2 linked regions of the Ovis aries genome follow. The protein of the gene in region 2 binds, or shares a complex with, the protein of the main gene of each other region. Links are inferred from orthologs where the notes say so. Each region holds a gene or a part of one and is shown on either strand. Other genes may lie near its edges.

The links. The genes of interacting proteins can lie anywhere in the genome.
Region 1: NBAS (region 2) and RINT1 share a complex: the UniProt entries of both Homo sapiens proteins name them as parts of the NRZ complex. The link is inferred for Ovis aries from reciprocal best matches to the Homo sapiens genes NBAS and RINT1.

What each region holds. Positions count from the first base shown.
Region 1 is NC_056057.1:48,169,088-48,172,740, reverse strand, and holds part of RINT1 (RAD50-interacting protein 1), read right to left. Parts: intron 3,619-3,653; coding exon 3,393-3,618; intron 2,646-3,392; coding exon 2,504-2,645; intron 722-2,503; coding exon of another isoform or gene 718-721; coding exon 522-717; intron 1-521. UniProt on the Homo sapiens protein: Involved in regulation of membrane traffic between the Golgi and the endoplasmic reticulum (ER); the function is proposed to depend on its association in the NRZ complex which is believed to play a role in SNARE assembly at the ER.
Region 2 is NC_056056.1:23,856,981-23,860,633, reverse strand, and holds part of NBAS (NBAS subunit of NRZ tethering complex), read left to right. Parts: intron 1-877; coding exon 878-1,029; intron 1,030-1,954; coding exon 1,955-2,095; intron 2,096-2,354; coding exon 2,355-2,433; intron 2,434-3,653. UniProt on the Homo sapiens protein: Involved in Golgi-to-endoplasmic reticulum (ER) retrograde transport; the function is proposed to depend on its association in the NRZ complex which is believed to play a role in SNARE assembly at the ER. Required for normal embryonic development.

The DNA of each region.
Region 1 (3,653 bases), on a different chromosome or scaffold from region 2:
GGAAGATCCCCTGGAGAAGGGAATGGCAACCCACTCCAGTATTCTTGCCTGAAGAATTCCATGGATAGAGGAGCCTGGCAGGCTGCAGTCCACAGGGTCACAAAGAGTGGGACATGACTGAGTGACTAACACTTTCACTTTTAAGAGCTATCAAATGTTATGTTCCTTAAAGTTCTGAATTTTATTGATTTTGACATCATTATATAAGCTTAGCTTTTTCTGAGATTGCAATTACCATTCAACATATTTCCCAAGTTTAAAATCTATAAGGGAAAGGTTTACTTTATAAACTACAATTTCATGAAAGGATGGCTTTCTTTTCCAATGATTAAAATATCAGGATGATTTAACTATATGAGACTTAGATGAGAAAAATATGTACTGTAATCATACCTCCTAAGTTTGGCCCAGTTTTGATTCTGTCTAACGTGTGTTATTTCTGCTTGCTACAGATTCAACATTTCAAAAGGTAAAACTGTTCAAATTACTAATATATTACTTAATATAAAAGATTAACTTACAACATTGTCAGCCCAGTCTGCTAGCACTGTTGAGATATAGTTCACGGCATTAAGAATTGCACAGTACCGAAAGCCAAGGGAAGCTCTAGTCTCTTCTTTCATCACCTGAGTTAATCGTATCCTAAAATCATCTACTAAGTCCTTCTGTAACTCCAGGAACTGCAACTTTCTGGAAGCTGTGGGAAGATTTTTATACCTGTCTGTGGAGAAAATTAACAAGACATGTGAAGGTTTATGGGCTTCCCAGCTGGTGCTAGTGGTAAAGAATTCGCCTGCCAATACAGGAGATGTAAGAGACATGGGTTCAGTCCCTGGATTGGGAAGATCCCCTTGAGGATGGCATAGAAACCCACTCCGGCTTGCCTGGAGAATTCCAAGGACAGAGGAGCCTGGCTGGCTACAGTCCATAGGGTCGCAAAGAGTTGGACATGACTGAAGCGACTTAGCACACACGGCATGTTAAAGGTTATGGTATAGGGTTTTCCTATTGGCTAGCTTTGATGGCTTTGTCAAAAATCAACCAACCATTCAAGTATGGATCCATTTCTAAACTCCCTAAGGATGTGTGTTTCACAAGTACTGTCAAAACTCATTGATCTATATACTGATGATCTATGCATTTCACTGTATATAAGTTATGCCTCTAACACAATGTTGTAAATCAACTGTGCTTTATTTTAAAAGTTATGCCTCAATTTTTTAAAGGCATATGAGAAAATCGTATACAAAAATTATTCCACTTCTTCAACAAATGACATTTTTTAAAAAAGGAAGGAGGAACTAGGATAGGTTAAAAGAAACACGTAGCTAAAGATTTATAGGTGAAAAGATGTTTAAAATACTTCAGGAAAAAAGTCTGTATTTTGGGGGGGGAAATACATAATAGAAAAGCAATAGTTTTAAACCTTAGGAACAGATAACCTGAGGGTTCGTTATGCTGCTTTTATATATATATGAGAAATTTCCATAATAAAAGATTTTTAAATCAGTTTTGCTAAATATTTTTGTATTTTAGTGTTTTTCATATTTTTCTTAAAGAATACAGCATTATTTACTGACTGGGCTGGAATGACACCTCTTCAGGTTACCACACAGGCCCAAGAAATGGACAAGACACAGAAGGACCATGGCAGTGACAGCTCAGTAGCCCTGGAGAACCAGCAGGTCTGCAGTGCCCTAGGGGCAACATGGACAGGAACAGACCAACCAGGGCTGGGCCCGGGCCACCCTCCAGACAGAACATTCTTGGAACATAGAAGTTCCTGTTACCATTCCGATCTTTGCCTTCTCCAGGGGATCTTCCCGACCCAGGGACTGAACCCAGGTCTCCTGGATTGCAGGCAGACTTTTTACCATCTGAACCACCAGGGAAACCCCCATTCTTGTCCTTAAAGTTACTTTATTATTTTACTGTTCTATAAACTCTGATATAACAAGGTGAAGAAAATAATATTTAAAATTTGGGTCAATCACCATTTACTGAAGATACTTGAAAAGTTGAAAGACAAGGGAATTCAGGGAAGAAAATTAAATTATTTGTTTTTATGTAACAACTGAGGAATTTTCCCCTCATGTAAACTAATGTTTAAGGTCTTACTTAAATTACAAAAAATCCAAAAGCTAAACTACTGTGCTAGAGTTTGACCAAAATAGAAATTGAATTTGAAGATACTACAATAACCACTTTATGGTATTTTGTCAAACTACTTCAAAAATACTGAGTGAAGAATCAGTAGTACTTTTATTTAATTTTTAAAATTTTAGTGAAGTAGAGTTGATTTACAATGTTGTGTTCAATTTCTGCTATATAGCAAAGTGACTCAGTTATACATATATATATATTCTTTTTCATATTCTTTCCCATTATGGTTTATCACCTAATGGACTCTATCCCACCACCATTCCCCTTCCCCCTTGATAACCACAAGTCTGTTAAGAGTCAGTACTTCTAAAAAAAAAAAGTTATATCTTTAAGACTATACTTGCCAGTTATAACCAAGAGTAGTGTCATAAACGTTTCTGCACAGTCTGGGACTTTCATCTCATCCACATCAGTGATGTCCTTATATTGGGATATCCAGGCAGCTTCTGACGAGAGCATTGAGTCCATTTTTTGAAGAGCAACTGGCACACAAGAAAGATCATGTCAAACAAGTAGTTACAGATTGTAATTCCTAATCTTTCAACTCATAGTTTCTTAGGAATTATTATTTTTCTATAAAAAAATAAATCTACACCCTCCTACTAGGTGCATTATATGTAACATGCTCTGTTTTAAGGTTAAGTAAGATCTTTTACCTCTGCCCACACCTACCCAGAATCTTCAAAATATCTTCAAAAAAATCTTCAGTGACTAGAAAAGCCACATCCAGAATGATTCCATAAGAGCAGAAATACTATATGTAAAATCCATAAAACAGTTAACGCTACTGGGTTAAACTTTAAAAAAAATAGCTGTATTTATTTGGCTGTGCCAGGTCTTAGTTGTGGCACTCAGTATCTTTTTAGTTGCGCATGCAGCATCTTTAGCTGCAGCAAGGAAACTCCGAGTTGCAGCATGTGGGACCTGGTTCCCTGAGGAACAAACCTAGTCCCCCTGTATTGGGAGCACAAGTCTTAGCCACTGGAGCACCAGAGAAGTCCCTGGCTTGAATATTCTATCCTAGAAATACATAGAGTACAATTCTGGGAAAAACTGAAGCTTGATGGGAAGAAAAGAAGATAATCTCTGAAGGCAACTTGATAAACCTCAACCGAGAAAAATTTAGATGACACTAGTTTCTACCCAGAAATGGAGAAGAATAACACCTAAAATTTTGTATTCACAATAAGAGATACCTCTCCCCAGCCTACAGGCATATGAGCACTTACATTTTCTCTCCACAGTCAACCATCTCTGAAAACAGGTCTCCTCTGATAGAATATGCATACAATTAGCAAAAGTGCTAGGATAGCCATGAACGCTGTGTAGTTCTCTTTCAAACAAAAGCACCTCGTCCACCAAATGACAGAAGAGACTGTCGTCATAGAGCAGACAAGGAATATCAGCAGCTAACTTCTCAAGAATCAGCATCATAAGTCCCCGAGAAAATTCAAGCTAAAAAAACATAGAAGCATAAGGAAATGAAAATG
Region 2 (3,653 bases):
GGCACACAGATGGTACTCAGTAAATATTATTTCTTGGATGCATAAATGGGCTCTGTAAGTAAACCAGCCTGTTGAATGTGATATTCCATGATAGTGGACACTGGGGCCTATGATTAGATATATTGATTTGGGCTCAAGTGGGAAACCTTGCCAAGGTGTTAAGTGTTAATGACATGGACTGGTATAGAGGCCACAGACATGGAGAGGGGGATGTGAATTCAGAGACTCCAGAGGAAAGAACTGATATGAGGGAATATGTAAAGGAACATAGAGGGTATGAGCCAGATTTTACTCTAAATTTGTATCCACAAAGACTCTAGGAAGAGAGCAAGTCAGGGATTTCGAATGGAGTCAGAGAAAGCTGTTGGAGGGAAGACTGGCCCTTGGTCTTCCCAGAGAACAGCATGGCATGATTCTTCATGACTGAATCATCGTCTGTGCTTTGGGGTACAGCTCCTGGCCAAGTAAATACAGAACCTTGATACATGAAACAAAACGTTAGTTAAACAAGGTTAAGCATGTTTGTCATAGTAGGATAAATCTTGTCTTTTTTATTTTCTATTCTTTCATACAGCCCAAATGCAAACTAAAGAACAACTGAAAATTTTGGGAAGATCTATGTTTCCCAAAAAAAGTCATCTGAGCTTTGTGTTTCAGTGTGTTTCATTAGAAGAAGGAAAGCAGGTGGAATCATATTCCCTATATTCAGTCCTAATCACCATTAGGAAAAAAAAGATTTTTAATGGTGAGGTGCTCCAGCAGCTGCCTGTGGCTATGCTCTTAGGTAGCTAGCTGTGATTCTGGAAGGCAGTTCTCAGGTGCTATCAGATGTCATGGGTTCTTTAATGCCTCTGTTTTTCATTTTCTCTGTATCCAGAGTAAAATAAAGAAACGATCCTGGGTTCTTCATGAGTGTTTGGAAAGAGTTCCTGAAAATGTGGATGCCGCCAAGGAACTGCTTCAATATGGATTAAAAGGCACAGACCTGGAGGCTCTTTTAGCCATAGGGAAAGGAGCAGATGATGGCAGGTTGGTTACAGAAAGATTTGGATTCAAAAGTGAAGGTGACTTTTTGAAAACTTTTTAAACTGAGACATTGGAAAGGGTCAACTTTCTTTATTTAGGTTACTCTGCAATGGAGCAGTTGGTTTGACTAATGCTTTTTTTTAATCTGAGATCACAGTTTTTTTTCTTCTGAGTGAAATATGTTTACATATGATAACTTGATGCTAAGAAAAGAGCAAATTCTACAAACATTTATTGAATGCTTGCAGTGTCTAAGCTGTGGATTTAAGGTGATGCATACCTGGGCATGCTTACTGGTCAAATGAACCACTGTAGGCAAGCCTGAGTTTCATTCACTTTCTTCATCTGTATCGTTGTATCCTTCCTCAGAGCATTATCTTGATTAAATTATTTATCTTGTGAAACTGCCTCATAAACTTTTAAGCACCATACAAATGTCAGTTAATAATAAAGTTATTTGACAGGGGCTGCTGTTCATCAGACATTTGGAACATTATATACATGGTATATAAACGTGATGGTGTGTTGATAAGTAATTTAAATGAAACCAACTTTCATTACCATTTTAAGACCTTCAATAGAAGTGGTTCACATTATAAATTTTGGGCAACATTTTCTTCATAGGCTGTTTTACATTGCATCACTGTAACCTCCCATGTTTTCCTAAGCAGCTTTCATTTTCTTGGTATTCAGAGTTCCTACGTGTGATGATTACTGATGACTTCTTGCCCACCCCATGGATATAAATGAGAGAATCACTTTGGTTATAACATGGCCAAAGCTTTCTTTTAAATGGTTGGTTGTTTCTGTTTCTGCAGAAACCAACTTAATAAAATCAAAGTAGGGAAAAGTACTTCTTCACTATATGAAATATATATATAAAGAAAACATACTCCAAGGAAATTTGACTTTTTTTTTTTTTCCACAGATTTACACTCCCTGGTGAGGTGGACATTGACAGTATCTCCTACGAGGAACTTTCCCCACCTGAAGAAGAACCTGCCGAGAAGAAAAAGGAGAAGGAGCTCAAAAAGAGACGAGAACTACTTAAATTAGTGAACTTTTCAAAGTAAATGATATATTACTGTTCATTTGGTAATTTTTTTAAAATAGTGATCTGAGTGTGTTCCTTACTAGTGATAATTGCTCTACATTATTTCAGCAACTCAAGTCAAATGCATTTAGTAGTATTGTAGCCCTGTGCTTCTGTGCATTGTCCTATGAGTATGGGGCTTAATAGAATATTGATCATTTTTATTCTATTTTAGATCTTAGAGAAATGTGCTTGCAGGTAAATATAAGTGGCCTAATATAGTTTTTCAAAACAGGTTAACGCTGGAACAAAAGGAACTTTGCCGTTGTAGACTGAAATTATTAACCTACTTAGATCGGCTTGCAACATACGAGGTAAAGGGTAGTTTTAATCAAAGCAATTATGTTCGTTTGATCTGTCATTGCACATGCTGTGCCTGCCTATGCTGTGGGATATTCCTGGTCTTTAGAACTATTTATGTGGGAAAAATTTGCGCAGAAGCATGTTCTTTTGTATATCATTTTTGCTAAACATTAGGGATTCGTAAGGGGCCAGAAGTTGCTTTGTAGAAGCAACTTTGATCCCTGCTTCCCAACCCAGGGATCGAACTTGGGTCTCCTGCATTGAAGGTCAACTCTTTACTATCTAAGTCATCAGGAAAACCCTTCAAAAGGTGAGAAATTTATACTAAATCCTGGGAAACTTGAACGATGAGGGTCACATGAAAAGCAATCTAAACTATGTATATTTTATGAAATGCTTCTCACACCTTTATCAAATCTGACAGAACAGGGCACTATTGAAATGTCCAAATGGGACATTTGTGTTTGCTGCCCTGAAGAAACAATTTTGAAGTTTGCTCTAAGTTCAAGTGTCTAAATTTGGCCATCGTTAGGATCAAAGTTTCTGCTGTAGAAGCAGTAGAAATGTGTGCATTATTTCAGCATCTGTGTTTCCTAGATTTACAATCCTTTTCATTTATTTTTATTTTACATTTAAACTTTTGGTTATGGTAGATAGCTGTCTATAGTAGCAAATTCAGTATCCACTGGAGTTTAGTAATATGAATATTCTGACTTGCTTTATTTTAATGATTTATTAATGTCTTGAATTTAGTTGGCTAGACTTTGATTCTAATGATGGCCAAAATTAGACACTTGAACTTAGAGCAAACTGCAAAATTGTTTCTTCAGGGCAGCAAACACAAACGTCCCATTTGGACATTTCAGTAGTGCCTTGTCCTATCAGATTTGATAAAGGTGTGAGAAGCATTTCATAAAATACACATAGTTTAGATTGTTTTTCATGTGACCCTTATCATGTGACCCCAGGATTTAGTATAAATTTCTCACCTTTTGAAGGGCTTCCCTGGTGACGCAGATGGTAAAGAGTTGACCTTCAATGCAGGAGACCCAAGTTTGATCCCTGGGTTGGGAAGATCTCCTGGAGAAGGGAGTGGCTGCTTACTCCAGTATTCTTACTTGGAGAATTCCATGGACAGAGGAGCTTGGCGGGTTATAGTCCATAGGGGTCAACAAAGAGTCTACAGGGCTTAACAGTTAACACTTTCACTTCCACTTTCTCACCTTTGAAG